Xenopus tropicalis: one gene and its partners. The main gene of each other region encodes a partner of the protein of the gene in region 3 in a complex. Links are inferred from orthologs where the notes say so. Each region holds a gene or a part of one and is shown on either strand. Other genes may lie near its edges.

Region 1 (10,127 bases), on a different chromosome or scaffold from region 3:
GTTTTTTACATATGTTTTTTAATGTATATGTTAATAAATGTGTTTTGGAGATAGGAGGTATGTGTCACAAACTCAGTACTAACAAAATTTCAAAATACCAGCACAAAAATCAGAATACTGTACTTCTGGTTCTACAGTCAAAAATCCAGTAGGTTCACCCCAGGAAACTATATATTTTGGAAAGTACAAAAATGGGTAAATGTCTTACTATTCCAAACTACAAAACAACAAAACTTTGCTTCATTTGGGGTCTCAAAATGCCAGCATGCATTTCAATTAGGATCGTGCACACAGTGTCAGACTGGTGTATTTGGGGGCTTATGGGAAGAGCTGAATCAAGGGCACACCCCCTGCAGTTCTCCGCCACCACACTACATCTCTACCCCCCCCAGTGATTACCAGTCAATACCATCCGGCTCACCCACCAACATGCCCAGTGAAAAGAGGCCCAATAAGACCAGGGCCCACCAGGTTTTTTTCCTAGTCCAACCTTGAATTCACAGTACCCCAATATCTCAGTGTGGGTGACAGTGTAAATATGCTGCTTGCTGATCAACAAGATGGCCGCTAGGAACAGAAGGGACACCACTATAGCATCTCTGTAGTTCTGGACATACTATGGGGGCACAGATAAGTTGGGGAAGGTGTCAGTGAGGTGATTAAAGAGGGGTCATTCCTGCTAAAACTAAAAATTTGCCTGGGAGGCTTTACTTATCATTTAAATAAAGATATATACAATAGATCCACTCAAAAAGCTATTTTTGCCTCATTCATTAAGCTAAAACTAACATAATAATGCAAATGTAAGGTAAAATCTTTTTATATACAAGACTATACTATTTTTTATTTAATCAGTGTTTTACTTGTTTGCAATGACAATAACAATAGGCTGCTAATCCCCATTAATATGTTAATGATACCCCAAATGGGGCCCCTACCAGAGGTGAGAAATGAAGACTGTGTGAAACAAAGCAAAATAGAAGAGCTTGGACTCTGACAGAGTTACACTGAACTTTACTCCATTTTGAAAATGTTAAGAAAAAGTGTCATTAAATGTCATTTAAATGTCATTCAAAAGTCATTTAAAAGTCAAATTCACAAAAGTGTCTGTAAACTGTCTTTCTTTCACCAAAAACTGAAAAGTGGCGGTTGAGTCGGAATTTAGGTGGATATCTGTTTGTGAATATGAAGAAAGTTTTTTACACCAGTTTTATCACCACTTTTACTACAAAAAAAGAGCTATCTCCACTTTTGGGAATTCCCCCATTTGCTTTTATTATTTGTATCTGGTCTTTTTAATTTAAGGCCCAGGGGCTGCAAGTCAGACCTGGATTTGTGGCAATGCCACAAAGGACCGGGCCTTGGGTTTCACAAATTGAGGGACGGCATACCGCTCAGCCGCACCTGAAGTTTTGTTACATTCAGAATACTGAGGTCTAGGTGTGCGTCCCCTGTGCTCCAGGTGTAAGAGGAAAGGACTTGAAGGTCCTCAGGGCAGGGGGGGGGGAACAAATCTGGAATCCTTTTTACAAGATAGCACATGTTTGATTTATCTTCTTAATGACCTGTCCCTCCTAACACTTTGCTGGTTTCCCTGGATGTAATCAGTTTTTATATGCTATCATCCCACACAACATTGGTATTGCCACTTTCAAACAGGCACTAATTAATGCAAAACACCAACACCCCCTATAGAGTTCTTGTGCACCTTGCCTAATCTAGCATTTTCCCATAATTATTTTTGGTTTGAGGAAAAGTTCTTCTTACACACAGCAGGCACAGCAAGGCTAACCTCTATATGTAGCAATATGAGAATTTTCACATATACTCGCATATACTACATCAATGACTGCTTTTTTTACTTTGGCAGGGTGACTTTGTTTGATCCTTTAATGACCTCCAGATACCAGTTAGATTCAAAATGGAGTTCAGTGACAGCTCCCTACACTTTGACTTATATATTTTTAAGAATGGTAATAGGTTAGATACTACACTTTTCCGTAAAGCTACAGAAAAACGGATCATAATACCATTCTCTATGCCCAATCCCATCATCCCAAATCCACCTCCAGGTATTGTATTCACAGTTTCTATGGGTGATCAGAAACAACTCGGATCCTTCAAGAGCCCCCAAACAGCTGTTAGAGACGGCTCAGAAAGAGGATCTCACCCGCAACAAACTGCAAACCAGATGGACAGAGTTTTCTACTTATTACAACAAGATTTGCTCTCTTTGAACCCTATCTCTAAACGCAAGGAACCAGCGCTGATTTTTGTAATACTTTTTCCAAAAGTTCTGCCGTCTGTAAGGCTTAAGTTGACAGATGGGAGATTATTCAGACTGATCTTTCACCTTGCCCTTCACCAAAATCACCAAACCATAGTTGAAAACCGGAGGGCCAACAATCTGGGTAATATTCTTATGGTTAAAGATTTCCCTCCTCCACCCAAGCATGGTTTCTGGCTTGGCACCCTGGCAAAACCTAGGTTTTATACATGTCCTGACTGTTTTACATGCAGTGGGGTGGTCCAGGGTTCTACTTTCAACTACCCCCATACTGAGACAAAATTTAAAATCAGACACAGACTGATGTACAAGTACTCATGTGGTATACCTGGTGCCATGTGCTTTAGTATATGTTGGCAAGGCTAGCCCAACATGTGAATGAATGAACAATCACAGGTGTCATATTAGGAGAGCTCTTGGTAGTGGACAAGCCCAACATTCACTGCCCTGATTATGCAACATGATTATTGCTCATGTTCCCCTTCCTACAAGGGGTGGTTATAGGCACCCAGTTCTTCTGAAATTGAAGATCTACTGGATACACAGACTGGGTACTGTTGCACCAGGGGATTTGAATAAACTTCTCTTTCTTCTTTGCTCTGCAAACCTTTTTCCTCATGGTGAGTTTAGAGGCCTGACCTCTAGTGGCTACTATGTTCCAGTTACTTTGTTTATTCTTAGGGTTATACAGACACACATTACCTGAGCTGTGAAAAATACAGTTTAAGTGCAGCTGCTATAACTTAGGCTGTGGTATTTGCAGCTCTACAAACTGCATTTATATGAGGCAAAACCTTTATATTATAAACTTAGGGGGTCAATGTAAAATCAATATACAAATGAAGCAACGTGATTCAGAATCAAGGTAACGCCACTCAATGCTTCAGTATATTAGTGCCATATAGTACGGTAGGAGTAGCTTCCTTGTAGTCACCCAGTCCCCATAAAACTCCTGCCCTCTATGTCTCCCTTGATGCCTCTCAGATCCAGCAGGGGGCAGCAGAGCTCAGCGCTAGCAGCGACTAAGGCAGAAAGGACATCCTTGCTTACGTTTCTATCGAGAGAAAATCGTGACGTGACGTACGTAACTAGCGACAGGGGCTGCGTCTACTTGCAAGAATCAGCAGAGGGCAACATGTCGGCTTTGAAAGTGCAGAGGGTAAGTGTTAGAAATAACTTGTAAATACCACCAGTTGTACCTTGCAGTTTATGCTTATGCGCTGGAGCCGAGCCAAAGAGTTAATGCGCACTCACTAATCGCTTCCTTATATTAAGATAGTAGCGCCGCTGCTGTTCTGTGCTATACCCCATTGCAGAGATTCCCAGCGACACCCGAACGACTAGTTATATACATATATATTGAGTCCATTCACAGCTTGTCTGTATGTCTGACACTGGCTCAGCGTTCAAGGTCAAAGGGGCCCTGTGAGGGCGGAGAGGTGTCGGGGCAGAGTCCAGCCCTGCTCGGATAGCTTTGTATTGCCTGGTCGGTTCGCCAGCCCTACTGGCACCGCAGCTCCCACTTGTACCTTTAGCGGGGCATTGCTGAGAGTTATAGTTCAAAGCGTCTGTAGAACTGGATATTTGTTGACATTTACAGGGGCTTAGCTGCATCCAGGTTTTTTTTTATATGTGACTTTAGGGGTCTTGTGCGCAGAGGCTGATATTTCCAGAACCTCAAGTGTCATTCTGTGGCTACTAAATGCCTTTAAGAAGGGCCTGGATGAGTTCTTGAACAATCAGAATATCCAAGGCTATTGGGATACTAATATCTACAGTTAGTACTAGTGGTTGTATTTATAGTTTATGTATGTGAGTGTATAGATTGGTAGGTGTGGGTTAGGTGTGCTGGGTTTACTTGGATGGGTTGAACTTGAAGGACACTGGTCTTTTTTCAACCCTATGTAACTATGTAACTTTTGCATAAAAACAGTGTGTACAGTAGTGTAGTTATCCCACATACTGCGGTGCAGTTGGCACACGATAAACCATCAACTAGGGCAAGAAGTTTCTTCTATGAGAAAACCCTATACTGACAATGGCCAGAGTAATACAGTATGAAGGAATGAATCTCTCTGTAGTAAAATCAGACTGACTAGCTTCAATAGCCCAGCCTACCTACATCTATACCTGTTCTTGTAGCTCAGTGAAATCGAGTATCTGTGCTGTGTATCATTTTAATATACTCATGTTCTGTCACAATTACACACACATTTCTCTCCAATGTAGTGATATTATCAGTGTACGATTATTGTGGCTGTAGGGCATTAATAGAAGATGGCAATTCTCCAGCAGCTCAGCTGATTAGGGGTCTGTGGTGTGTTATGCCTGCAGGATGGGGAGTATGGAATGTTCCCATCTCTGCGGTTGAACTACTAACCTTTTTATATCAAGGGAGAAAGGAGGTTTGTATCTGGTTTCATTTTATCTTTGATGTAAGCTTTAATCATGCAATGTTATTCTCCCCAGGTGCTTCAGCACATAACAAGGTGTGGGTGGAGAACTCACTCTACTGCTCCTAATGCTGCTGCCGCTGCCTCCTCCCAAGGATCTCTTGGCTTTAACTTCGGTAAGCACTTTAGGAGAACTAAATCTGATGTATCTTACAATGAGTTAGTTTGTGGTAGGAATGGAACCATCTAAACCTGAATTCTAAACATATTAAAAATCTTCACGTGATAAGTATTTTATCAAAAAGAAAAGGGAAACCTTCTTAATTAAATAAAATGTTAGCATTTTGGGGGGGAAACTTATTTACAATTGAAAACTACATCAATATGTAATTAAATAAATGCAAATAAATTCATTTTTTTTTCTACTTTTCATAGTTGCATAAAACAGTATATTCTCAGTGTGTATAAATAAATAAGTCAGGCTGCAGGGTTGTGATACAAGAAAGGAGAGGGATATTAGACCACTGGATCTTTGCAGCTGAGACTAAGCTTAAATCACAGCACTGGAGGAAAGCAGGCTGTCTAGTGTGCCAGGAATAGGCAAGCAGTAATTGTTAGATCATTGAGGGGTGCTGGTGCACCAAAAGATAATGTTTAAAAGCCTACATTAGCATCATTAACAAACCAAAACCACATCCGTGCCCGGGTACATAGAATTGGGGTTCTTTGTATATAGGAAATATTGATGCATGATAAGTTTTTAGTAATTACACAGCTGAGAAAAACAGATCTACTCTCATCTGCAGCTGTGTAGCTCCACAGAGAAGCACTGGGTCAGCCTGAGTGCAGCTACACAGCAGACTTTGGCCTGAAAAAATATGAAACTAGGTATTTTCAGGCTGAAATCTGCTCAGTGGATCTGCACACAGGCTAACCCAATCCCTGTCTATGGCGTTACACTGAGCTTGGGGATAAAAGTGGATCTGCGTTTCTATATTTTTCTTGAAAATGAGTCAGAAAGCAAGTGTGTTGTGAGTTTTTTCCCTTCAGCTTATCTCCCGTTTCTGCACTTCTTAATGTGTTTTTTTTTTCACAAACCCAGCTGAACCAAAGCTGTATCTTGGGTCTGTGAAACGGATAAGTAGGCCATCCCAGTCATGTCACTTACTGGCTGAAATGTGGCAGAAGTGGTACTGTTATCCCTGATGAAAACAATCACTGTTCTGCTTTATTGTTATTAGCAGTGGCTTGTATTGCAGCCCTGTGATTGTGCCCCAAACAGACAGTTTTGAGAGAGGTTTTTCTAAATGTATCCTACTGTTGCAGTCATGGCCTCCCTATTATATACTGGCCTTGTTCGTAGGCCCCTTCATTCACATGCTAAGCCATGTTAGTAAGCAAGGACACACTGTTAGCAGCTTTCTTGTTTCTCTCTGCATAGCCCTTAGTAATAACTGTCTGGGACACACCATATAATTGCAAATAAGTAATCATTATATTGGCATACTTCATTTAATACTAGGGTTTCAATAATATCCAGCTTTTACAATGCATCTTAAAGTGACAGTATATTTAAATTTGCAGTAATGTATATGCCTCCAAAAAATATTGCCTCCGTAGTAAATTTGTCTTATCTTCCCTTTTTCCTTGTAAAAGAACTCAGTGAACAGCAGAAAGAGTTCAAAGCCACTGCACGGAAATTTGCAAGGGAAGAAATCATGCCATTAGCCGCACACTATGATAAGACAGGGGAGGTAATTATTGATTTGTCTACACTATGTTACTAATTATCTAATGCTCCAGTTAATCAATTAACTAGTGAATGTCATTGTTTCTTCCATTTTAGTATCCTGTACCACTCATCAAAAGGGCATGGGAGCTTGGTCTCATGAATGGGCACATCCCTGAAAATTGTGGTAAGCATAGAGAATAATGTCAGTAATGGAATTTATATGCCCAAGCCACATTATAATGTGCCAGCCCCACTACTTGAGGAGAGCACTTCTGGTTGAGAAGTTTGGTGGGTGAAATAGTCCAGTGAATAAGGTGAAGCAACTGATGAGCATCACTGAAATACTGAGACCTTTCATTATATTACAGGTGGCCTGGCCCTTGGGATCTTTGATACCTGTCTAATTACAGAAGAAATAGCTTATGGGTGCACAGGAGTCCAGACAGCCATAGAAGCAAATTCTCTGGGAGTAAGTACTTAGAGCTCACATGGCTCTTCTTGTTTTTCCTGGTTTTATGTACAGATGTGGTAGACTTTCAGTGCATTAGGAAAATATACGTTAATTCATACAATTTTGCAACAACCAACAGCAACGAAATCCAGGATTTGGCCAAGATTGAGCCTTTTTTTTTTTTTTTTTTTACCAGGATTCAGGTTCGGTATTTGGCCATATCTATTATGAAGGATTCAGGGTTTGGCCGAATCCCAAAATAGTAGATTTGGTGCATCCCTAGTTAAGAAATGTAATATTTTTTTTCTTGCCTTTATATCTTTGATAAATACATAACTAGAAAGTCTTTGTTTTCCAGCAAATGCCAGTCATAATAGCAGGGAATGAAGCCCAGAAAAAGAAGTATTTAGGAAGGATGATGGAAGAACCGTTAATGTGTGTAAGTCATTGTTTTGCTACTTAAAGCTTAGGCCGCCAGCCGGTTTATGACTCTAATGGTATCAGACACAGGTGTTATAAATTGACTAAATATATCACACACAACCTACAGAAAATAAACAAAACAAAAGAAAATGTTTAGTCAGCAGGCAAGATTTCAATTAGCTTTATAGTAAATAAAGACAAAATCTCTCCATAAAGGGTTACTAATACCAAATAGTGAAAATAGATTATATCCGCTGGTCCAACATTTTCAAACAAATTACTTAACATTCATATTATAAAAATGGACTTTTGATCACTTAAAAATCCAGCAGAATCCTGCATTGAAATCTGTTTTTTTTTTTTATATTTAAATTTTAAATTTCACATGGGGCTAGCCATATTCTATATGTCCCAGGGTGGAACTGCCATGTAACTTGTGCTCTGATCACACTTTACTGCTGAGCTGCAAGTTGGAGTGATATCACTCCTCTCCCAGCAGCCGATCAGCAGAACAATGGGAAGGTAGCAAGATAGCAGCTCCCAGTAGAATCAGAATAGCACTCAATAGTAAGAAACTCAAGTCCCACTTAAGTGACATGGGAGTAGGAGAAAAAATAGGTTACCTGAAAGCAGAAATGTGTAGCGCTGGCTCCTTCTGAAAGCTTAGACTCCGGCACAATGAGATGGCTGCCTACACACCAATATTACAACTAAAAAAAATACATTTGTTGGTTCAATAATTAAATTTTAAATGGTAGAGCGAATTATTTGCTATGTAAACTGTGTAATTAGAAATTAAAAGTATACCATAAAAATCATGACAGTATCCATTTATCAAATGACTCTCTTGTTTTTTTTAAGAACAAATCCATTATTTTAGAATGTTGCCTATAGCTTCGAATATAGCTCCAAGTAGATGTCCATTAGTGATCAGACTGCAGTAACCCCCATTAATTCTAAATCACTGGTTAACTGCTGCCTTGTATTTTATTCAGGCTTACTGTGTGACTGAGCCAGGAGCTGGTTCTGATGTGGCAGGTCTGAAGACAAGAGCTGAGAAGAAGGGCAATGAGTATATCATAAATGGGCAGAAAATGTGGATTACAAATGGTGGAAAAGCTAACTGGTATAATTGTTATTCAAGATCTACAATTGGTGCAAAAAGGGGCAGCAGAATAATTTCTACTTAAATATTGCTTTATTTCCTGTTCTACAGGTATTTCCTTCTTGCACGCACTAATCCTGACCCCAAAGTTCCTGCTAGTAAAGCTTTCACAGGTTTTATTGTGGAAGCAGATAGTCCTGGAATACAGATTGGCAGAAAGGTGATGAATTCTCTTTTATCCTTTGCTTTACTATTAAGTAACTCCTTGTTGTGCATGATTTTGTTTTGGGTATAAACTCTTAACTCACTAAATTTTTGGACAGCTAACATTTACTTTCCTGTAGTTTACATAATAGCTAAGAAATGTGGAATTGGGGATATTTTGGTGATGAGGTTTGGACCCTTCAAAAGCTTTAACCTTAAATGATAAAATAAAGTAAAATAAAAAGCATTTCCTTAAAAATATAAAACATTTTCTGCCTCATTTACTTTAAAAATCATTTCTACGCACAGTTTGCTAGAAGGTACATGGTTGACTCTGAAGTCAGTTGGAAGAAGGTTCTATGGTGTGATGAAACTAAACTCCATCATAAACACACCATTCCCACTGTGGAGCATGGTGGAGGTAGCTGTTTGTAAGCTTCTCTGAAGCATTCCATGTAAGGCTTGTAAAGGTGGCGAAGCAAGTGGATCTTCTCCCAATATTCCCACCTACGGGTTGGCAATATTGGGCTAATTCAAATTAGAATGGCTGGTAGGGGCGCCTTTTGGTTTGGGTACCACAGCAATGAGCTGATGCAGTCCCCGATCCTACAGGAAAATTAAACCTGCCTGATCAAGAAAAAAATCCACTGTTGTTCAATTTTCTATGACAAAACATGAAAACGTCCAAGAGGCTGAATACTTTTTATAATAGCTCTATAAAAGTGTCAGGATAGTTATTTCAGGGGATTACATAGGCATTTTATAATGGCTGATACATCTGCTGCTGTTTGTGTCTTTCATTCAGTTACATTACAATGTTCTGCAAAACACCTAACATTATTTTGGGTTGGAATTCAGGAGATGAACATGGGACAGCGCTGCTCAGATACAAGAGGGATTGTGTTTGAGGATGTAAGAGTTCCAGCTGAAAATGTCTTGATTGGAGAAGGAGCCGGTTTTAAGATTGCAATGGGCGCTTTTGATAAAACCAGACCCCCAGTAAGAACCCTAATTGCTATTTGTATGTTTGGGGTTTTTGTTTCTGTTTACAAGTTTCCTAATGATGATTTTTAATCATGTTAATATAGGTAGCTGCAGGAGCTGTGGGATTGGCACAGAGGGCTCTGGATGAAGCCACCAAATATGCAGTGGAAAGAAAGACATTTGGAAAATTAATTGCTGAGGTAAGAAGACATTGTTCAGACACCCAAATGGGCAAACTGATTTATTGGCATATACTAGAATACACTCTGGGACTGATACTGCACATGGGACATCCCATCCTGGCCACAGAAGCATTCATGAGGAACTGCAGAGCAACACTTGCAAGTCACATGCACACGTAGACTGAATGCTGATTTGCCCAGCCCTGCAGTTAGTGTAGACATTCAGTAGGAAACCTACAGCTATATTTAGTATTTTTTAAGCACTCATTTCTCAATAAAACTGTTCAAAAGGAACCTTACAATTCTAATTCTTTAGGCATATTTTTTTTTTTTTAATTCAGCTTGCTTTGCCATCCCTCTGGGTTT
Region 2 (10,225 bases), on a different chromosome or scaffold from region 3:
AATATACCTCATAACGTACAAGTACAGTGTAAAATGTACATGTAAACTTGCATTTATACAAATGTATGCATTAGAATGGTAAATACAGATGACCTTTAACCTAAAGTTCTAATAAATAAAGTTACACTTTTTTAATCTGGAGAAAATGTACAAGAGTAGAGGCAGTAAAAGTGGAGTAAGGAAGACTGATGGAGTAAAAAGTATGTCACATTCACAACTGTTTCGCTCCAGTCTTCTGTGTTTTAGTGTTCTGACTTTCCAGGTCCCACTTTTATCAGTTTGGAGACCCATTTAAGAACTACACAAACTTGTCAGAATAACAATTTGGGGTATGTTATTTTGCATTTACTAATTTGGCATTTTGCTAGCATTTATAATGACATTCTGGCCTAGGGCAACACCGGACCTAAATACACCGCTGCTCAGAAGCCAGTTATGTGTAAAAGGTATGGGACATGTTATCCAGAATGCTGGGGACCTGAGGATTTACAGATAAGGGTTTTTTCTGTAATTTGGATCTCCATACCTGAAGTCTATTAAAAAATTATTTAAGCAGTAATTAAACACAACAGGACTGTCTTGGCGCCAATAAATATTAAATATATCTTGGAATCAAGTAAAAGTTGGAATCAAGTAAAAGCTACTATCTTATTATAAGATTTTTTATTTTTTTTTACAAATGTGAATTATTTGATTAAAATGGACTCCATTTTAATCAAATAATTCACATTTGTAAAAAAAAAAATTTGAGATGGGAGATGGCCTTTCTGTAATTTGTGACTTTCTGGATAACAGGTTTCCAGATAGCAGGTCCCATGCCTGTAGAACAGAAGAACTGAATACCTCTAGAATTGAAGTATAGCACTTCAAACAGGCTACTATATAATAAAAACACAACACTGAGAAAAACTGGTCTAGGCAGACATATTACAAAGTTCAATTCAAATCCATATATTTCACAACAAAGACAAATACAAGAGGCAAGAATAAGAAAGGTAGAGATGAAAATTGCAGAATCACCAAGTATACTTGCAAGCATGCAGCTATGACCTCCAGTAAAGGGCAGAAATCTAGACACACAAAATGATAAAAAAGGCCGCCTCTGCCTGACAAGCTAGACCAATTATGCATGCTAATTCTGCAAACCTATGCTTGCGCATGAACATTGCATGTATGCTGAAGGCGACTACCAAAGCAACCAGACAAGACATTCTAAGTTATCTTAAAGGCTACTTTATATGAATTTATACTTTGTATGAATAGAATTTGAGTCTGGAGTTCAAAAATTGAAAAACCAAAGGGCCAATTTTTTTATCATGCAACCTCTTCACTTATAAATGGATTTTACATTGCAAATTTTATTTTGGGGAAATAGAAAAAAATTGACAGTGGGCTCCTGTGAAAAAATATGCAAAATCTATACACATCAATAAAATGTTATGCACAAATAAAGCTCTTTTAGTATATACTATAGAAATGTATGACAGGCAGCATAACCCACACTTGTGATTCAGTTGTAGGTTACACAAGTCCCCTACTAACTCGGGAAGTCCCATTAACTCTGACTGACTCTGACTTAAGGTGCTCATACACTATAAGATCCGCTCGCTTGGCGATGTGGCCAAGCGAGTGGATCTTCACCCGATATCCCCACCTACGGGTGGGCGATATCGGGTAGCAAGTAACTTAAAAAAAAATAATCCGATAGTTTGGCCCTAGGGCCAAACGATCGGATTACATTTGTGGTTATGGGGCGGTCAGTTCGGGGACCGCATCAACGAGCCGATTCGGTCCCCGATCCGACTGGATTTTCTAACCTGGCCGATCGAGATCTGGCCAATTTCAGGCCAGATATCGGTTGGCTAGGCCGCTCTGTTCTGCCCATACACGGACCGATTAGCTGCCTAATCGGTCCAAGGGACCGATATCGGCAGCTATAGTCGGCCCGTGTATGGGGACCTTTAAGCCCTAGGGAAGGGTTTGTGTACCTAAAGGTCATGGGGTAGTGCAAATTGTTTCTGCCCATATTTTCATAAGGATGAAGGAAAAACATGGCTCTTGCTCTTTAAACTCCATCTGGTGCTGGTGATGTATGTAGGTTCCTGGAGCAAAGGCCCCAGGATGAAGCTTAGTGCCCTTAGGGAAGTGAAATCCCTTAGTGAAGTCAGGAATAGGACCCTGTGAACAAGGGGAGAGTGGATAGCAAATCCTATAGTAGCACACTGTTGAGATAGTGGTGTGGTGAGATTGAAGTAAAACTGAAGAGAGCACTCCCCATGTGTAGGGACTACAGTGGACAGGGACTGTGTGTGTAATGCCTTACGCAGCATGAGATACTTGGAGACAATAACTGCAATGTATATGGGCAAGCCCAAAGAGAACTCAGGGTGTATGCCAGTTTACCCAAAATATTGAATGTATTGAAAAGTATTTGCTGCTTTCCACTATTAAATCATTTAAATAATTCAAGTACTACTAGCTTCCTTTATTGTTTGTGTGTTGAGAGTTAAAGTTTAGCCACTTCTGGTCCCTTCCTCTACCTACTGCGATGTATTTTGCCTGAAAGCAGCTGGATTTAGGCAATACAGGTATGGGATTCCTTATCCAGAAAGCTCTGAATTACAGAAAACCCGTCTCCCATAGACTCCATTTTAATCACATGATTCAGAATTTTAAAATGATTTGTTTTCTCTGTAGTAATAAAACAGTACCTTGTAATTGATCCCGACTAAGATATAAATAATCCTTATTGGATACAAAACAATCCTGTTGGGTTTAATTAATGTTTTATTGATTTTTTAGTAGACTTAAGGTATGGAGATCCAAGTTACAGAAAGACCCCTTATCCAGAATACCCTTGGTCCCGAGCATTCTGGATAATGGGTCTATACCTGTACTGCCAAGAAAGGGGTACAAAGTTTTAAGTTTCAACCTAAAAGACAATCTGCAAGGTGCTTGTATGTTTCCCTTGTGTTGAGGATTTTCTGTATGTACTGTGTTTTCCATTAGCACTTCAAAAACATAAAAGGGTTAATTAGCTCTTAACATAAGGACCCTAGTCCAGTTTTTGAATTTGCCTGAAACCTTAGTTTGTAAGCTCCACTAGGGCTTAAATTATGAACATTCTCTGTAGAGTGCTGTGTTTAAAGAATAATAATAAATTAAATCATTGAGAATGAGCATAGTTTATGGCCCAACCCACAGCTCTCCAACAAACTTAATCCGGTTAAGATAGACTGAGCTTAATCAACACTGCTAAACCCCAATGTTGAGCATGAATAATACAACAAAGCAACCAAATATTAGAAGTTTGTATTTACTGATTGGCAACAGATTACATGGCTCTCTACACAAAAAGGTATTGATTTTTAGCAATGGATCTAACCACACCATGGCAATCGCTGTCCCACTGCGCTAAGGGACTGTTGTTTTGCAAAGTTAAATATTCTACCATCATTTGTAACCTTTAACTGTTCCTCCATTTGTTCCAATTATTTGTTTTTCTTTGAGTACAGGCAGCATACTGAGTTAGTTAGGAATGGTGAAGGAAAGTTTGTTAGGAATGGTTAAAGAAAACAAAAGGTATTTATAATTAGTAACTAGCTAATTTTTCATTAGGAAAAGGAAAATAGATGGTAAAATAAATGTAATTGTAGAGAGTCAAGAGTTTGGCCACACATACAGGAAAAAAAAAAGTTGACAGTCACAGTCAGTAAAAATCCCTGGGACCCTTACCTGGTAAAAATCCCTGGGACCCTTACCTGGTAAAAATCCCTTGTATGATTCATGCTGTGCTACGAACAGTTTTGACACTCCCTGTACCTTTGCCAGCTCCTCTGCTACCTGAGACCATAAACATAATCAGGACATGATCTAAGTACAGACAAAAATCTAGAACCCATGTCTACAAATTGTTCCTTTATTTGCAATATTAATTAAGCTTATGCGAGACGTGACTACTGCTCAAAAATAAAGTAAGTAGAATTTTCAAGAAACAGTTCATGTGTCTGCCCAAAAGCATAATCGCAAGCTATTTTAGACAACTTGAATTAACACATCCTAGCCAACATTAGATGTAGCAACATCAAGGTGGTGACATCAAATTAAATACATGCCTTGACATTATGATTATGTGTAAAGTAACAAGATAGAATGATCAAACAACTTAGGTCTACTAATAATCACAATCACTGGAGAATGATTAGCTACATTTACATCCTTGCATCCAATCTGGCTTGCATTTTTTGGAGCAGGATGGACATAGCCAATGTAGAAAAATGAAAACATCAAAACTTCCTAGCTTTCACAAAAGAGATTAAAGAGGGATCCTAGAGCAAAGAAACCCCTAAATGTAAATAAAAAACAAGGAAGAGAGAAATCCATAACAAGGAGGTGTAATATCACTGGGAGATTCTCTAGTAGAAAGGGGGAAACACAGTAAGGTGAACAACAAGCAGAGAGGGGAAACACAACTGGAAAAAAATCCTGGTGGAGACGTTGGGCCCAACAGAAACATGACAAACCAGGGAATGGCTTCAGGAATCAGAGAGCAGAAAAACAGCAGGACGAACCCGCCATATAAGGACAGAAAACACAAGGAGACCCACTAGTGTTGGGAGACAACACATAAACACATCATTCTTTGCTGAGTGGGGAGAGAGAGCAGGGAGGCCCTCAAGATAGAAAGGCTATAAAGTAGTTAAACCTATTCATTGAAAGGGGGAGAAACAGCAAAGAGACCCCCATTGGGGCTAAAGGGCAGCAAAGCAGGGATGCCCCAGGGTGGCGAAAATTAAGACACATGATGTAAGCTCACTAATAAAGAGGAAAGACGTAAGCACACTATTGAAAAGTGAGACACAGGACACAAGCAAACTATTGGAGAGGCGAGACGCAGGGCACAAGCACACTATTGGAGAGGCGAGACGCAGGGCACAAGCACACTGCTGGAGAGGAGAGACACAGGGCACAAGCACACTACTGGAGAGGAGAGACGAAGGGCACAAGCACATTACTGGAGAGGAGAGACACAGGGTACAAGCACACTACTGGAGAGGAGAGACACAGGGCACAAGCACACTACTGGAGAGGAGAGACACAGGGCACAAGCACACTACTGGAGAGGAGAGACACAGGGCACAAGCACACTACTGGAGAGGAGAGTCACAGGGCACAAGCACACTCCTGGAGAGGCGAGACACTGGGCACAAGCACACTACTGGAGAGGAGAGACACAGGGCACAAGCACACTCCTGGAGAGGCGAGACACAGGGCACAAGCACACTACTGGAGAGGAGAGACACAGGGCAAAAGCACACTACTGGAGAGGAGAGACACAGGGCACAAGCACACTACTGGAGAGGAGAGACACTGGGCACAAGCACACTCCTGGAGAGGCGAGACACTGGGCACAAGCACACTACTGGAGAGGAGAGACACTGGGCACAAGCACACTACTGGAGAGACACAGGGCACAAGCACACTCCTGGAGAGGCGAGACACTGGGCACAAGCACACTACTGGAGAGGAGAGACACAGGGCACAAGCACACTACTGGAGAGGAGGGACACAAGGCACAAGCACACTACTGGAGAGGCGAGACACAGGGCACAAGCACACTACTGGAGAGGAGAGACACAGGGCACAAGCACACTCCTGGAGAGGCGAGACACAGGGCACAAGCACACTACTGGAGAGGGGAGACACAGGGCACAAGCACACTCCTGGAGAGGCGAGACACAGGGCACAAGCACACTACTGGAGAGGAGAGACACTGGGCACAAGCACACTACTGGAGAGGAGAGACACAGGGCACAAGCACACTCCTGGAGAGGCGAGACACAGGGCACAAGCACACTACTGGAGAGGGGAGACACAGGGCACAAGCACACTACTGGAGAGGGGAGACACAGGGCACAAGCACACTACTGGAGAGGCGAGACACTGGGCACAAGCACACTGCTGGAGAGAAGAGACACTGGGCACAAGCACACTGCTGGAGAGGGGAGACACTGGGCACAAGCACACTACTGGAGAGAAGAGACACTGGGCACAAGCACACTGCTGGAGAGGGGAGACACTGGGCACAAGCACACTAACACAGAGGTGAGACAGAGGACACTAACACACTAATGGAAAGGTGAGAGAAAGTAGGAAGATCCATAGCCAGAGGGAAGATAAAGCAGAGAGAGCCATAAAGGTGAAGCATAGTAGAGAGGCTGTATAGTAGAAAAGAAAGCATAGCAGAATGGGCAATTAAGATTCTATCTGGTATTTCCCTTGTACATGTGACATCCCAGCAGTGGCTGAGAATAAACAAATGACTGAACTTACCTTACTGCAGTTGGTCCCTGCCACCAAACAGGATACATCTGCCCCAAGTCGCTTGGCTGCAGTTATGGCGCTGAGAGTGACCGGTGTCACCTGTTGGGTGTCATGCTCTGCAATAACCAGGGCACTAAGGAACCTGCGCAGAGATGGAGTCTGCAGGGAAAAGTAGAAGAGTACAGCTTTATTGTGCTGCTAAAGAGAAGTGCCCTACCGCATCATGTTAGGACTCTACTACACTTATTACGGAGTGCTCACGTATGAGTAAAGAACTTTTATCGTGACAGTGAGTGTAAATATATTATATAATGCATCCATATCTATAGCAATTATTGTTATGTCATTTACTCCCCCCTCCTATCACCACCCCGTAACTGCGGCAAGCCAACACACCCTGCTACTTCAGCTAGAGGAAACCGAAAACAACTCACCCCCTTCTGCCTCCCGGTACTCAGTGCTCGGTACATGCTGAACTCTTGGACAGACACAAAGGTGACCCGGCCTCTGACACCTTCAGCAAGCGACTCAGGCAGCAGGCGGCGCGGAATAATGACGTCAAATACTTAGTTACCTTGTGAGCGAGATAAAGGCGCAGGCTGGAAGTATTTCCAACTTACATATTACAGTTCTAAGTAGGGGAACGTTCTAAGCTTTCCAGTATAGAGTCATAACATATTTGTAATTGTCGCTGAAAGCATTAGCTGTCTGTTTCACTGATATTTTCTGCACTGCTGGTTCTGACGATATTAGTGTAGTAGTCAGCTGAAAAACATGGCTTACTTTAAATATGTCTTTTGACGGAGCGTGTAATTCCTAGTGCTCCTATCATTGTCTCTTATACCCTTTTATTAACACAGGTCTGTTAAGTAATAGCAGGGATTTTACCTTATGGATGCACCGAGTGCAGGATTGGAGTTGAGAATTCCATCACATATTGCAAGTTTAATATACTGCTGACTCCTTAGTACAGGTATGGGACCTGTTATGCCGAATGCTCGGGCCTTGGGATTTTCCGGATAAGGGCTACTTCTGTAATTTAGGCCTCAATAACTTAAGTCTGTTAAAAATCATTTAAATATTGAATAAACCCAATAGGCTTGATTTGCCTCCAATAAGGATTAATTACATCTTCGTTGGGATCAAGTACAAGGTACTGTTTTATTATTTAAAAAAAAAAGGAAATCGTTTTTAAAAATTAGAATTACTTACTTATAATGGAGTATATGGGAGACGGGCTTTCCGTAATTCGGGACTTTCTGGATAACAGGTTTTCGGATAAGGGATCCCATACCTGTATTTAGGCCAGGGAACTTTTTTTTACTCTTGAGGAACACTCAAATGTAAAACGTATTGGTGAGCCAAGCTGGTCGGGTGCCTAGGCAACCCAGTCAGCCACCTTGCTCCCCTCCATCCCCACCCATGTGCATATGCACATGCACGTGTCCGCCGTGATGTTGTGGACAGAGAGGGTAGCACGGTGAAAAGGAAAGCCAGGGGTAAGCGATGCTGGACTAGGGGTAGCCAGAAGAGGTACCTGCCTAACGCCCTCCCTAGGCAGGTGCCTCTTTTACCTACCCCTAATTCCGGCCCTGCACACAAGCACAAAACATGTTTTTTGGGGATGCCAAATAAAAACTGTGATTGGCTATTTGGTAGCTTCATGTGGGCTGCTAGCCTGCTGGAGGCTCTGCTTGTAATAAAACAGTGTCTTTGTGCTTCCAAACCTGGTCCCCAAGCCAAAAATATAAAAATTGGCACCTTATTTGAGGCCACTGGGAGCAACATTAAAGGGGGTGGTGAGCAACACTGGTTGGGGATTACTGATCTAGGGTAACACTGAAACGTTTTGAAGTGCAAATACAAGTGGTTTATTAGAGGATATATCAAATCAAAGAGGCACTCTTAACATGCTATATTGAAAACAACAAATACTACACCTGTTTATTAGTGATGCCTTTATTGGACACAAAACCACTCAGATTTAGAATGCATGTATTGAATTTATTTGAGAAAGAAAATACAGGACAATATGCAGGTTATAAATACAGTGGATGCCACTTATAATAGCTTGCTCACATGCTACCGTGCTTTCTGATATTATGTTAACAACACACACCAAATTTATACACACCTAGAAAACATGATTAACCCCTTCAGAATGTGCAATTGTCAGTGTTATCCAGCAATGTCATACTGTTTCCTGCCCACTATTCCCCCAAAGCAGTGTGCTTTTAACAAGGATGAAATAACCAGGAAGGTTTATGCTGACATTGTTCTACTAGATACGATCTCACAAGTAACAGGTATGTTAAAATAACCATCACTTGTAGGTAAGGGCCAACTTCTAATGGATGTTTAGATTGGAAATTCAGTCAAACAATTACTTATTGGTGCATGTGGAATATTACTCACCAACAGTGTAGTCGAGCTCTTTACACATCTTTTGAGAAATCTAAGGTGCAAGTAACTGAATAATTAAAAATTGGTTATCCATAATGGTTATGCACAGTAGAAAAGGGTAATGGGGAGGGGGTACAGAATAACAATATAATCTAGATGTTAGGTGGAGTAGTAAAAGAAATGTTATAATAAATGGTAGCCAAATTATGTATACTTCTTTAGGTGCAAAAGTAGTCATGCAGGGTATGTAGCAAAATCTGATCTTGGGAAATCAGGCATGCGTCCACTATGTTGGTTATTAAATGAAATACAAATGGCTAATGATAAAGATACAGCTAGTAGTCTTATTTGCAGTTCCTTAAAATGACCTTTCTTTCTTAACAGGAGAAAATAATATCTCTTAGCAAGTAGCAGATGTCTCTTCATGCACCCCATTTATACTCTCAACTAACATATAGAGAGTGGTCATACAATCAACATATACCTTGAAAGTTCCTACAACAGAATAAGTCAGACACTCTGTAGGAATTGTGGAAATGTACAGTGCAGCTACAGATATATGTTCATTGTGATTGGGGTGCAAAGGCACGATAACCCCCACCACCCTGTTGAACAAGTAAAAGAATAATAAAACACTAGATGCACATTGTATCTGTGAAAAAGTGTCCAACCAAAAGGCAACCTAATATGTGTAGCTAGCAGCAGTTTGGGGTGAGAATATAATCTTTTCTTTAGAATATGAGAACTCTGAGTGCAGATGGGGTCATGGATTAAATCCATTATGAGGTGAACAGATGGAAGCTCATCTTGTTACCAATAGCGTCAGATATCTAACAATCAGTATCTGTACACACCCTACAAATCTCAGTCAGGAAATCAAAACTATGGATTATTCCAGATAACCCAGTATTTATTTTTGTATTTTATGCAAATAAGTAATGCTGCACTTTCTTTAAAATCATTTTTTTATCACCATGGGTTGGAAAAATAATGTAGATATAATAATGTTAATGATATACTCAGTGCAGCACAAATAAGGTTTGATTTCGAAAACAAATCAAGAATTCATAAATAGAAAAATTAATAATGTAGTATAAAATAATAGGCATTTTGATTTATTTTATGGCAAAGTTTAATAAGTTACTGCAAGGCATGGCACATAAGAGATTAAACAATGGGGCCACAAGTTCTTTGAATCTTAAACAGTTTAAGCAATATTGAATACCTCCCTATGAATCAGGGCCGCCATCAGAAATCACGGGGCCCCTCACAACAAAATTTTCTGGGCCCCACCCTCCCACTGGCCCTCCCATCAATACAAGGGATACACAAGCACTGGTAGCGAGGGCCCCCTAAAACATTGGTAGCCAGGGCCCCCCTAAAACATTTGTGGCCAAGGGTTACATTTTGCATTAGTGCCAGGGCAGGGACCCACTAAAACATTGCTAGCCAGCCCAGGGCCCCCTAAAACATTGTGGTCCTCCCCCAGTGTTCCCAT
Region 3 (10,176 bases):
AGATCACTGCGTCCCTTCTGGCAGCCATGTTGAAGATTTTGGCAGGTACTGTTCTGACCTCCCTGCGCACAGGGTTATGTGTTTTATTCATTTGTAAGAATTATTTAGGGGGATTTGTAATGGGTATCTGTGTATAATCACTTGTTCTCCAGCTGTCTTCCCTTGCACCCATATCCCTCCTGTTGTGTTATAATCCCTTTACAAGAAACCAACAAGGTCTATTACTCATATTTCTATAGTGTAACATCCTTATGAATGGAGATGGCCGATAAGTGCCTGAAATCCTGAAGGAGAAGCCCCCTAAGTTGACTTGTATTGTGTACAGAGAGATACCCCCCCCCCCCCCCCCCGTCTCCATGCAGTTTGAGATACAAGTCCCTCACTGTGGCTGCTGAGAATAATCTCTCTTGCATTGCAGGTATCTTCCTTCTCATTGGAATGTCTGTATACACCGGAGAAACTGTCAGTTTTGTCAATAATGGATCCCTTAACTACCAGTGGTCTTTCTACCTCTGTTGGGTTGCAGTTTTTATGCTGTTCATTTCAGGTTAGTTTCTCTTGACTTTCCCTTCACTAGCAGCAAACTGCAATAAACTTGTGGCTGGTTTAGCTGTGAAGATTATGGTGAGATTGCTGGTCTGGATTGTATCACCCCCAGACAAAAGCCACCGAAAGCACACTATCTGACCCCGGGCCCAGGGGAGGGGGGAGGAGGAATTAGCTTGATATTTGGAGACAACCATATTTTCTCCTACAATATATTAGCCTGAATAAGGGTATTGGTGCTACACACAAGTTGTAAGGTATGAAGAGGTATGAGATTGGCATTTTACTCCCACACTACTTCCTGTTACAGTTAGAGCTGCATTATTTCTGGTCATGTGATCTCTGAGGGAACACACAGCCAATCACAAAATGGCGGCTCAAGGGAACGGATGTAAAAGGGAAATATATACTGATATTTATATTCCAGTTTGGCAAAATTCTTTAATAGGTCACTTAACATAATATAAACTATCTGTCGGTTACGTATTCATTCTGGGGGTATTTCGTTTTCCATCTCCATCTGTTTTCCTGCAGGGGCATGTAACATTGTGGCCCACCAAGCCTCACCAACGCCTGGATACGAAGCTGTCTGAACAAGAGCGCCTGCCTCAGAACATCAGGATCCTCAGCCAATCCCATTCCCTGTTTGCTTGATAATGCCAAGGCTAATGAAAGGGCTAATATAGTACAGTTTGTATTAGTGAACAAAGCTCTTATTGCACTTTGGCAAGTTTCAATAAAATATTTTGCATCTCTGTAGTTGCTATTTGTTCATGAGTAAAATTATTTGCCTCACATTATATAGTGAATAACGTACCCTCTATTGTAAAGTATAGGGATATTATAAATCACAGAAGAGATCCATTACCATATAAAAGCACAAGGCCGACGGTAGAGTGCTTTTATACCGGTCATGGAACACCGAGGTGACATAATACCTAAATATTTTTCAGCAGGACATACATTATTTATTATAATCCACAAGTTCCAGTGAGTCATGTGACGGAAATTACACCACTAAGCACCGATTATAACTGATGAAATCACTAAGCGCCATTTATAAGGATATCAAATACAGAATATTCATGACTCTTGTGAATTATATACTGTATATATATATAGCAAGACAGTGAGCCGCACACACAGGGACTTTGTTGGAAAACAAAAAATGTATTTAATGAAAAAATCCAACTTTTCGAGCACCATATATATTATATATATATAATGTCTGCAATGCCCAGAATTGACATCTAGAGAAGGGAGGGAAGGGCCCCCTGGTTTCCTGCATTGCCAAAGGCAGCTCTAAACTAACTCCAGCCCTGGACGAAGCCCAGAATTAATGCGGAGACTGCTGTACCAAGCCAAAAAATAAATATATTTACTTTATATATATATAACAAATACAGGAACAGCCGGCACTCACGGAACAGAAAACAAAAAATGCCTGGGTGCAGAGTTCAAAGGAAAGCGCACAGGAAAAAATAAAAAAAAGCACTCAGGTCTTATGAAGAAACAATAATTTTAATGCAAAAAGGTGAACTAACGTTTCGGCTGTTACATCAGCCTTTGTCAAAGTAACATATATATATACACATATAAACACAGCAAAGGGGAAGCACAATTCTATATAACCAATACCTTTCAATTAAGGATATTTATTGAACAGTTATTGTGCAGCTCTGTGGAATATGTTGGTGTCCTATAATAGTAATTAGAAAACATATGGAAGGTTAAGGCAAAGAGAAGTTGAGGTACATGTAGGTTTGCAGCCAGTTCCATTAGGGCTAAACTGAGCAGAGCCTTATACCTGACACCCAGAGAGGGACATATGGGCCCCATCATATTGATGTAGCCTTTTGCCTGGAGTGAATTTACAGATGGCATTAGCCTGGCCTTTAGTTGGTGAAAATTTGGGGCTCCCCTGTGGACGTCGTGTTCTGCAGTTATCAGGGAAGAGAGATTTATACTGGCTCCTTACTGACCGGCTTTATTTCTGCAGCCAGAGCAGGCTGAGCTCATTGGGACGTCTGTCTGCTTCCAATGTCTCTCACAGTCATAATGCATTTCAGCAGAGATGTCAACCAACCCCACGTCACAATGGAGATAATGATTCAAACCTATCCACAGCTACATAGAACTATAAGTAAAACTATTTAGAATCACCAAATACGTTTCACAGGTGAATTTCCCCTTTGCTGCAATGCAGAGATGACCCCTTGCCACATATAAGGTGCCAATAAATAGATATCATACCTCCCAACATTTTGAAACTAGAAAGAGGGACAAAAACGAATGCTGCGTGCAGTGCAGTGTATTTTTTTGACCATGCCTGTTTTTGCGACCACATCCCCTAAATACCACTCCCATTTGACTACATTTGGCAGGTTATTTAAAGTTTGAGCACATTTCTGGGGGTTTTGGGGTCCTGTTTTATGTGTTATTACAGTTATGCTGAAAAAGGTGAAATTGCCCTTTAAGCTGCGAGTCTCAATTCCCCCAAGAGACCTGTTTAGCTTATTAGTTACAGTTGTATCTCAGTGCAGGTGTGGCTTGTTAACTTTCTGGGCTCCCTGCCAAAAGCTACTTATTTAATTAAGGCTGATGCCACACATGGCGTAGGGCTGATATTTTCGGCAAGCAGAAAAATGCTTGGCGAAAATTCAGCCCTACGCCTGCTACTTGTGCCTGCACCCGAATGAATGGAATACGATCGGGTGCAGGCACATGTAGCCGATATATGCATGAAAATGTGAGACATTCTCACGCGTTTTCATGCATATATCGGCTACATGTGCCTGCACCCGAGCGTATCTCATTCATTCGGGTGCAGGCACAAGTAGCAGGCGTAGGGCTGAATTTTCGCCAAGCGTTTTTCCGCTTGCTGAAAATATCAGCCCTAAGCCTTTCAGCCGCCGAGAGAATTAGAAAATACGCAGTGTAAAAATGCCACGCGTGGCATCAGCCTAACTGCAGGTGACGCTCGTTAAGATTTCTGGGCTCTCTGCCAAAAGCTATTTATTTAATTAAATGTGAGAAACAATGTATCTAACTGCAGGTGACGCTCGTTAAGATTTCTGGCCTCTCTGCCAAAAGCTACTTTTAGGCTAATGTCAGACAAGGCGTAGGGCGGTTATTTTTGGCAAGCGGAAAAACGCTTGCCGAAAATTCCGCCCTACGCCTCCTACATGTGCCTGCACCCGAATGAATGAGATACGCTCAGGTGCAGGCACATATAGTGTAAATACGCATAAAAATGCGAGACTTTCAAACTTGCCAAAAATATCCGCCCTACGCCTCGTCTGGCATTAGCCTTAATTAAGTTTGTATCTTTTTTAGCTTCAGTGCAGGAGATCAAAGGGAAATGAGGGACTTTTCAGTAAGAATCCGGGACTAGGGGTTGAGCTGTCAAAAGAGAGACTGTCCCCCGAAAATCGGGACAGTTGGGAGGTATGGGATATCCTTTGGAATCCCTAAACTAATCTCTGTATCGCTCTTCTTTTCTTATTATTAGGCCCATTAATATGGAGGGGTATAATAGTCCCCACTCAAGTAACCCACAACAACAGACATTTGCTTTCAGGCAATGGATGATTGGTTGCTATGGGTTACTAAGGCAAGAAAAATTTTTGCAACTTTTGTTACTCGACCCACCAAAAGTTACTTTATGTTTGTGGTATAAACTAATATCTACTTATAAATGTATTTTAATGGGTCATTGGTCAGGTCAGGGACAAAGTATCAGTTTCAACACATAACAAAAATCCCGCGACAGCTGGGGCCAACAGTAAACGTTGGGCAGAACCAAGAAGACAACTAGTTAAAAAAAACGTAACTTTAGCGCTATTTTGTCCTTAAAAGACCTTTGGAAAAGCAAGCCCAAATAAAAAATGGCCGCCACGTTATCCGTCTCTAATGACGATTCCTACGCCTGTGCCCTTGAAGGTACGCCCACACACCTTATTGGCTAAGAGTTTTAAACACGTGTTACGCTCTGAAAGCGAACTAGCCAATTGGATACAACTTATACCGGTAATTAGTTGGATTTTGATTGCGATTGGGTATGCCTTGGTGCACACTGATTGGCTGACGACGGAGTCGGTGAGTCTTGATTGGATGTTTTCATGCCTCACTCTCCGAGTCCTTCTGAAACATGGCGCTGCGAGCTTTAGTTGGTGTCAAGAGGGTCATAGACTATGCCGTGAAGGTGAGAACGTTACCGGGGTGCCCTGGCGGCCTGGGGTCGGGGGTGTAACCGGTGTCACTGTGTAACGCCCATTGTGTCTCTGTGTCATGGAATTGGGAGATTGTGTGGCACTAAGTACTTACCTTTGACACTGCCATTGTGTAACAAGGAGTCTCTGTCTGTGGGATTGAGTAGCTGCCTGTGTGGCACTAAATATATATTAATGTGGGTTACTGGGCTGCAGGCAGTCTGTGGCTTTATATGGCAATACCTGGGTAATGATTGTGTGGCACTGAGTGGCTGCCTGTGGCACTGCCATTGTGTGGGGCACAGACAGTATATGGCACTGAGTGGCTGCCTGTGGCACAGACAGTATATGACACTGAGTTGCTGCCTGTGGCACAGACAGTATATGACACTGAGTTGCTGCCTGTGGCACAGACAGTATATGACACTGAGTGGCTGCCTGTGGCACAGACAGTATATGACACTGAGTGGCTGCCTGTGGCACAGACAGTATATGACACTGAGTTGCTGCCTGTGGCACAGACAGTATATGACACTGAGTGGCTGCCTGTGGCACAGACAGTATATGACACTGAGTGGCTGCCTGTGGCACAGACAGTATATGACACTGAGTGGCTGCCTGTGGCACAGACAGTATATGACACTGAGTTGCTGCCTGTGGCACAGACAGTATATGACACTGAGTGGCTGCCTGTGGCACAGACAGTATATGACACTGAGTGGCTGCCTGTGGCACAGACAGTATATGACACTGAGTTGCTGCCTGTGGCACAGACAGTATATGGCACTGAGTGGCTGCCTGTGGCACAGACAGTATATGACACTGAGTGGCTGCCTGTGGCACAGACAGTATATGACACTGAGTGGCTGCCTGTGGCACAGACAGTATATGACACTGAGTGGCTGCCTGTGGCACAGACAGTATATGACACTGAGTGGCTGCCTGTGGCACAGACAGTATATGACACTGAGTGGCTGCCTGTGGCACAGACAGTATATGACACTGAGTGGCTGCCTGTGGCACAGACAGTATATGACACTGAGTGGCTGCCTGTGGCACAGACAGTATATGGCACTGAGTGGCTGCCTGTGGCACAGACAGTATATGACACTGAGTGGCTGCCTGTGGCACAGACAGTATATGACACTGAGTTGCTGCCTGTGGCACAGACGGTATATGGCACTGAGTGGCTGCCTGTGGCACAGACGGTATATGACACTGAGTGGCTGCCTGTGGCACAGACGGTATATGACACTGAGTGGCTGCCTGTGGCACAGACGGTATATGGCACTGAGTGGCTGCCTGTGGCACAGACGGTATATGGCACTGAGTGGCTGCCTGTGGCACAGACGGTATATGGCACTGAGTGGCTGCCTGTGGCACAGACGGTATATGACACTGAGTGGCTGCCTGTGGCACAGACGGTATATGGCACTGAGTGGCTGCCTGTGGCACAGACGGTATATGACACTGAGTGGCTGCCTGTGGCACAGACAGTATATGACACTGAGTGGCTGCCTGTGGCACAGACAGTATATGACACTGAGTGGCTGCCTGTGGCACAGACAGTATATGACACTGAGTGGCTGCCTGTGGCACAGACAGTATATGACACTGAGTGGCTGCCTGTGGCACAGACAGTATATGACACTGAGTGGCTGCCTGTGGCACAGACAGTATATGACACTGAGTGGCTGCCTGTGGCACAGACAGTATATGACACTGAGTGGCTGCCTGTGGCACAGACAGTATATGACACTGAGTGGCTGCCTGTGGCACAGACAGTATATGACACTGAGTGGCTGCCTGTGGCACAGACAGTATATGGCACTGAGTGGCTGCCTGTGGCACAGACAGTATATGGCACTGAGTGGCTGCCTGTGGCACAGACAGTATATGACACTGAGTGGCTGCCTGTGGCACAGACAGTATATGGCACTGAGTGGCTGCCTGTGGCACAGACAGTATATGGCACTGAGTGGCTGCCTGTGGCACAGACAGTATATGGCACTGAGTGGCTGCCTGTGGCACAGACAGTATATGACACTGAGTGGCTGCCTGTGGCACAGACAGTATATGACACTGAGTGGCTGCCTGTGGCACAGACAGTATATGACACTGAGTGGCTGCCTGTGGCACAGACAGTATATGACACTGAGTGGCTGCCTGTGGCACAGACAGTATATGACACTGAGTGGCTGCCTGTGGCACAGACAGTATATGACACCGAGTGGCTGCCTGTGGCACAGACAGTATATGACACCGAGTGGCTGCCTGTGGCACAGACAGTATATGACACCGAGTGGCTGCCTGTGGCACAGACAGTATATGGCACCGAGTGGCTGCCTGTGGCACAGACAGTATATGGCACCGAGTGGCTGCCTGTGGCACAGACAGTATATGGCACCGAGTGGCTGCCTGTGGCACAGACAGTATATGGCACTGAGTGGCCGCCTGTGGCACAGACAGTATATGGCACCGAGTGGCTGCCTGTGGCACAGACAGTATATGACACTGAGTGGCCGCCTGTGGCACAGACAGTATATGGCACTGAGTTGCTGCCTGTGGCACAGACAGTATATGGCACTAGTAGATAGCTGAGTGGTTCTGATTTGCAAACTGTAAGTGGCTCTGAATAGCTGCTTCATATGGCAGTCAGGCCCAGGCTGGCAGTCTGTGGGTCCTGGCTAAAGCCTTGGGCCCGGTGAGCCTGTTTAGCCCTCAGGCACTTACAATACCAGGGTTTATTGTGAGTCTGTCTGTTCATGTTGGCAGTGAGTGTGGGTAAATGCGGCTGTAAGCTTTCTGCATCATCTGCAATGTCAGGAGGTGTTTCAGGTGATCTAATTATCTGCGCAGTAGAGTTGTACAAGTCCAGTTGCTTCAAATTTATTTATACTAGATATACCATGACCTGGATGAATGAAAATCTTCATAGACAGTTGTACTGAGTGTATATGACACTGGTTTGGTATCGGGCAGGCTAAGCCAATTAAGGAGTGTGTGGCACTGGGGGGCGGGCTGGGTGTGGCACTGGGAAGGTATCAGGCAGGCTAAGCCGGGCTGCGTGTGGCACTGGGTAGGTATCAGGCAGGCTAAGCCGGGCTGCGTGTGGCACTGGGTAGGTATCAGGCAGGCTAAGCCGGGCTGCGTGTGGCACTGGGTAGGTATCAGGCAGGCTAAGCCGGGCTGCGTGTGGCACTGGGTAGGTATCAGGCAGGCTAAGCCGGGCTGCGTGTGGCACTGGGTAGGTGTCAGGCAGGCTAAGCCGGGCTGCGTGTGGCACTGGGTAGGTATCAGGCAGGCTAAGCCGGGCTGCGTGTGGCACTGGGTAGGTATCAGGCAGGCTAAGCTGGGCTGGGTGTGGCACTGGGTAGGTATCAGGCAGGCTTAACTGGGCTGTTTGTGGCACTGGGTAGGTATCAGGCAGGCTAAGCCGGGCTGGGTGTGGCACTGGGTAGGTATCAGGCAGGCTAAACTGGGCTGTTTGTGGCACTGGGTAGGTATCAGGCAGGCTAAGCCGGGCTGGGTGTGGCACTGGGTAGGTATCAGGCAGGCTAAGCCGGGCTGCGTGTGGCACTGGGTAGGTATCAGGCAGGCTAAGCCGGGCTGCGTGTGGCACTGGGTAGGTATCAGGCAGGCTAAGCCGGGCTGCGTGTGGCACTGGGTAGGTATCAGGCAGGCTAAGCCGGGCTGCGTGTGGCACTGGGTAGGTATCAGGCAGGCTAAGCCGGGCTGCGTGTGGCACTGGGTAGGTATCGGGTAGGCTAAGCTGGGCTGTGTGGGGCACTGGGTGGCAGGCTGTGTGGGGCACTGGGTGGCAGGCTTCAGTACTACAACTAGGGGTTGGCAGCAGAGCCGGTATTTTGAAAAGGGAAACACAATTCCAAAAAACATGTTTAGTGTTGTATGAAGTAAGTGGCTCATCATTAGACCAACATCCATGGGTCGGTCCCCTCAACTCACACCGACCCTAACCCACCCGCTCCCAGCCTGAACCCTATCCAACCCGGCTTGTACCCTCTGTTTATAGAGCTGCGGCCGACCCACCCACCCGTGATGTCACAAAATGAATGGGGTGGGGTACCTATAAATCAGAGAGCCGAAAGCCAACAGTGTAAGGTTGCGGGTGAGCAGGCAGAAGGGCTCAACCCGAACCCACCCGCGACCTGCAAATGTTGTGCTAAGGTCACCCCCAACCCGCCAGTCCTGTGGGTATGAGCCTGACCCGCACATCACTAGTGCACAGTTAATGCCTGCATACTGTATTAAACAGGACACATCACCCCTATTCTTATCAACTATATCAGTATATTTGAAAAGGTGAAGATAAAGTATTTTTATTATATATTTAGCTTTGTAGGGAAGCTGTGTGGTCACTCCAGCACCCAGCCAAGAAGACAACAGAGGAAGGAGCTGCTAAGTTCGCAGAGAGACTTCTTGCTAGAGAATCCATCTTTGTGTTAATTTAACTTTAATGCCACATTTTATCTTAACATTATTTTTAAAAAAGGTGGCCAGTAGAGGTCACTGTTTGATTAGAGTATTTGTATGAGTTTCTCTCTATAGAGCAATTATTATTATTCAAATAATACAGGGTTATGGGAGATAGCTCAAGTTGATCCAGGGACTGGTCCGATTGCCATCTTGGCAGATGGGGTTTTTTGCCTTCTTCCAGATCAACTAGCAGTTAGGCAGGTTATATATAGGCATTATGGTTGAACTTGATGGATAAAGGTCTTTTTTCAACCTAACTTACTATGTTATTGAACTTTTATAGAAAAGTAGGTTCTGTTGTAAAACGTACTGTATCGCCAGAGGGGTTCAACCCCCTAAAGTCTAGGGCTTTAACAGTGTTCAATAGAAGCTTGCAGTATTCTGATCTTGTTAGGCCATCTTTTTAGTGTCAGCGGCACTGCACTTGCTCTGGGCTGCTGTTGAGAAGCAAAGCTTAGGAGTCGGTGGAAACATGAAGCTGATGCTACAGGGCTAAATTATGATGCAGAATGAACTGGTTTTTCTGCTGCCATGTAATGTGAGTGGGTCCCTAAGCTCAGGTAAGTGACAGCAGCACAGAGTATGGGCAGGGAATCAGCAGAAAAGAAGATGGGGGGCTACTGGGGCATCTTTGGGGGCACAGATCTTCCCTGCTAAAGGACTGGGGGTGCCTTGGGCTGGTACAGAATCTCAAGACATAATGTACAACATTTGTAGCCTTCTTGTTGCAGTTTAGTTCTCCAGTAACTTTAGTGTATATATATATATATATATATATATATATATATATATATATATATATATATATATATATACACACCTGTACTTGATCCCAACTAAGATATAATTACCCCTTATTGGGGCAGAACAGCCCTATTGGGTTTATTTAATGGTTAAATGATTCCCTTTTCTCTGTAATAAT

The links.
Region 1: the proteins of etfb (region 3) and acadm are in contact, whole or in part, in a crystal structure (PDB 2A1T), measured with the Homo sapiens proteins. The link is inferred for Xenopus tropicalis from reciprocal best matches to the Homo sapiens genes ETFB and ACADM. Residues at the interface, in NP_001976.1 of Homo sapiens: Glu73, Arg76, Thr77, Tyr192, Ala193, Thr194, Leu195, Pro196, Ile198, Met199, Lys202; in NP_000007.1 of Homo sapiens: Glu43, Gln44, Lys46, Glu47, Phe48, Thr51, Lys54, Phe55, Glu58, Glu59, Arg80, Glu83, Leu84, Gly85, Leu86, Leu98, Leu100, Ile108.
Region 2: the proteins of etfb (region 3) and etfa are in contact, whole or in part, in a crystal structure (PDB 2A1U), measured with the Homo sapiens proteins. The link is inferred for Xenopus tropicalis from reciprocal best matches to the Homo sapiens genes ETFB and ETFA. Residues at the interface, in NP_001976.1 of Homo sapiens: Ile14, Tyr16, Val18, Ile20, Val22, Val29, Thr31, Phe41, Leu102, Arg106, Lys124, Gln125, Ile127, Asp128, Asp129, Asp130, Cys131, Asn132, Gln133, Gln136, Met137, Ala139, Gly140, Phe141, Asp143, Trp144, Pro145, Gln146, Thr148, Phe149; in NP_000117.1 of Homo sapiens: Glu27, Leu88, Pro89, Glu90, Ser113, Ala114, Phe115, Lys117, Asn118, Pro121, Arg122, Ala124, Ala125, Lys126, Glu128, Val129, Ala130, Pro131, Ile132, Ser133, Arg146, Thr147, Ile148, Tyr149, Ala150, Gly151, Asn152, Ala153, Leu154, Cys155.

Annotation. Positions count from the first base shown.
Region 1 is NC_030680.2:81,041,641-81,051,767, reverse strand, and holds the start of acadm (medium-chain specific acyl-CoA dehydrogenase, mitochondrial), read left to right. Parts: upstream 1-3,332; 5' UTR 3,333-3,422; coding exon 3,423-3,446; intron 3,447-4,756; coding exon 4,757-4,856; intron 4,857-6,336; coding exon 6,337-6,434; intron 6,435-6,526; coding exon 6,527-6,596; intron 6,597-6,780; coding exon 6,781-6,881; intron 6,882-7,221; coding exon 7,222-7,302; intron 7,303-8,281; coding exon 8,282-8,412; intron 8,413-8,502; coding exon 8,503-8,611; intron 8,612-9,453; coding exon 9,454-9,594; intron 9,595-9,683; coding exon 9,684-9,779; intron 9,780-10,127. UniProt on the Homo sapiens protein: Medium-chain specific acyl-CoA dehydrogenase is one of the acyl-CoA dehydrogenases that catalyze the first step of mitochondrial fatty acid beta-oxidation, an aerobic process breaking down fatty acids into acetyl-CoA and allowing the production of energy from fats.
Region 2 is NC_030679.2:90,216,701-90,226,925, forward strand, and holds the start of etfa (electron transfer flavoprotein subunit alpha, mitochondrial), read right to left. Parts: upstream 6,801-10,225; 5' UTR 6,795-6,800; coding exon 6,759-6,794; intron 6,484-6,758; coding exon 6,334-6,483; intron 3,844-6,333; coding exon 3,762-3,843; intron 1-3,761. UniProt on the Homo sapiens protein: Heterodimeric electron transfer flavoprotein that accepts electrons from several mitochondrial dehydrogenases, including acyl-CoA dehydrogenases, glutaryl-CoA and sarcosine dehydrogenase.
Region 3 is NC_030683.2:122,441,928-122,452,103, reverse strand, and holds the start of etfb (electron transfer flavoprotein subunit beta), read left to right. Parts: upstream 1-4,689; 5' UTR 4,690-4,696; coding exon 4,697-4,750; intron 4,751-10,176. Other genes in the region: protein NKG7, read left to right, coding at 1-45, 419-547, 1,081-1,139. UniProt on the Homo sapiens protein: Heterodimeric electron transfer flavoprotein that accepts electrons from several mitochondrial dehydrogenases, including acyl-CoA dehydrogenases, glutaryl-CoA and sarcosine dehydrogenase.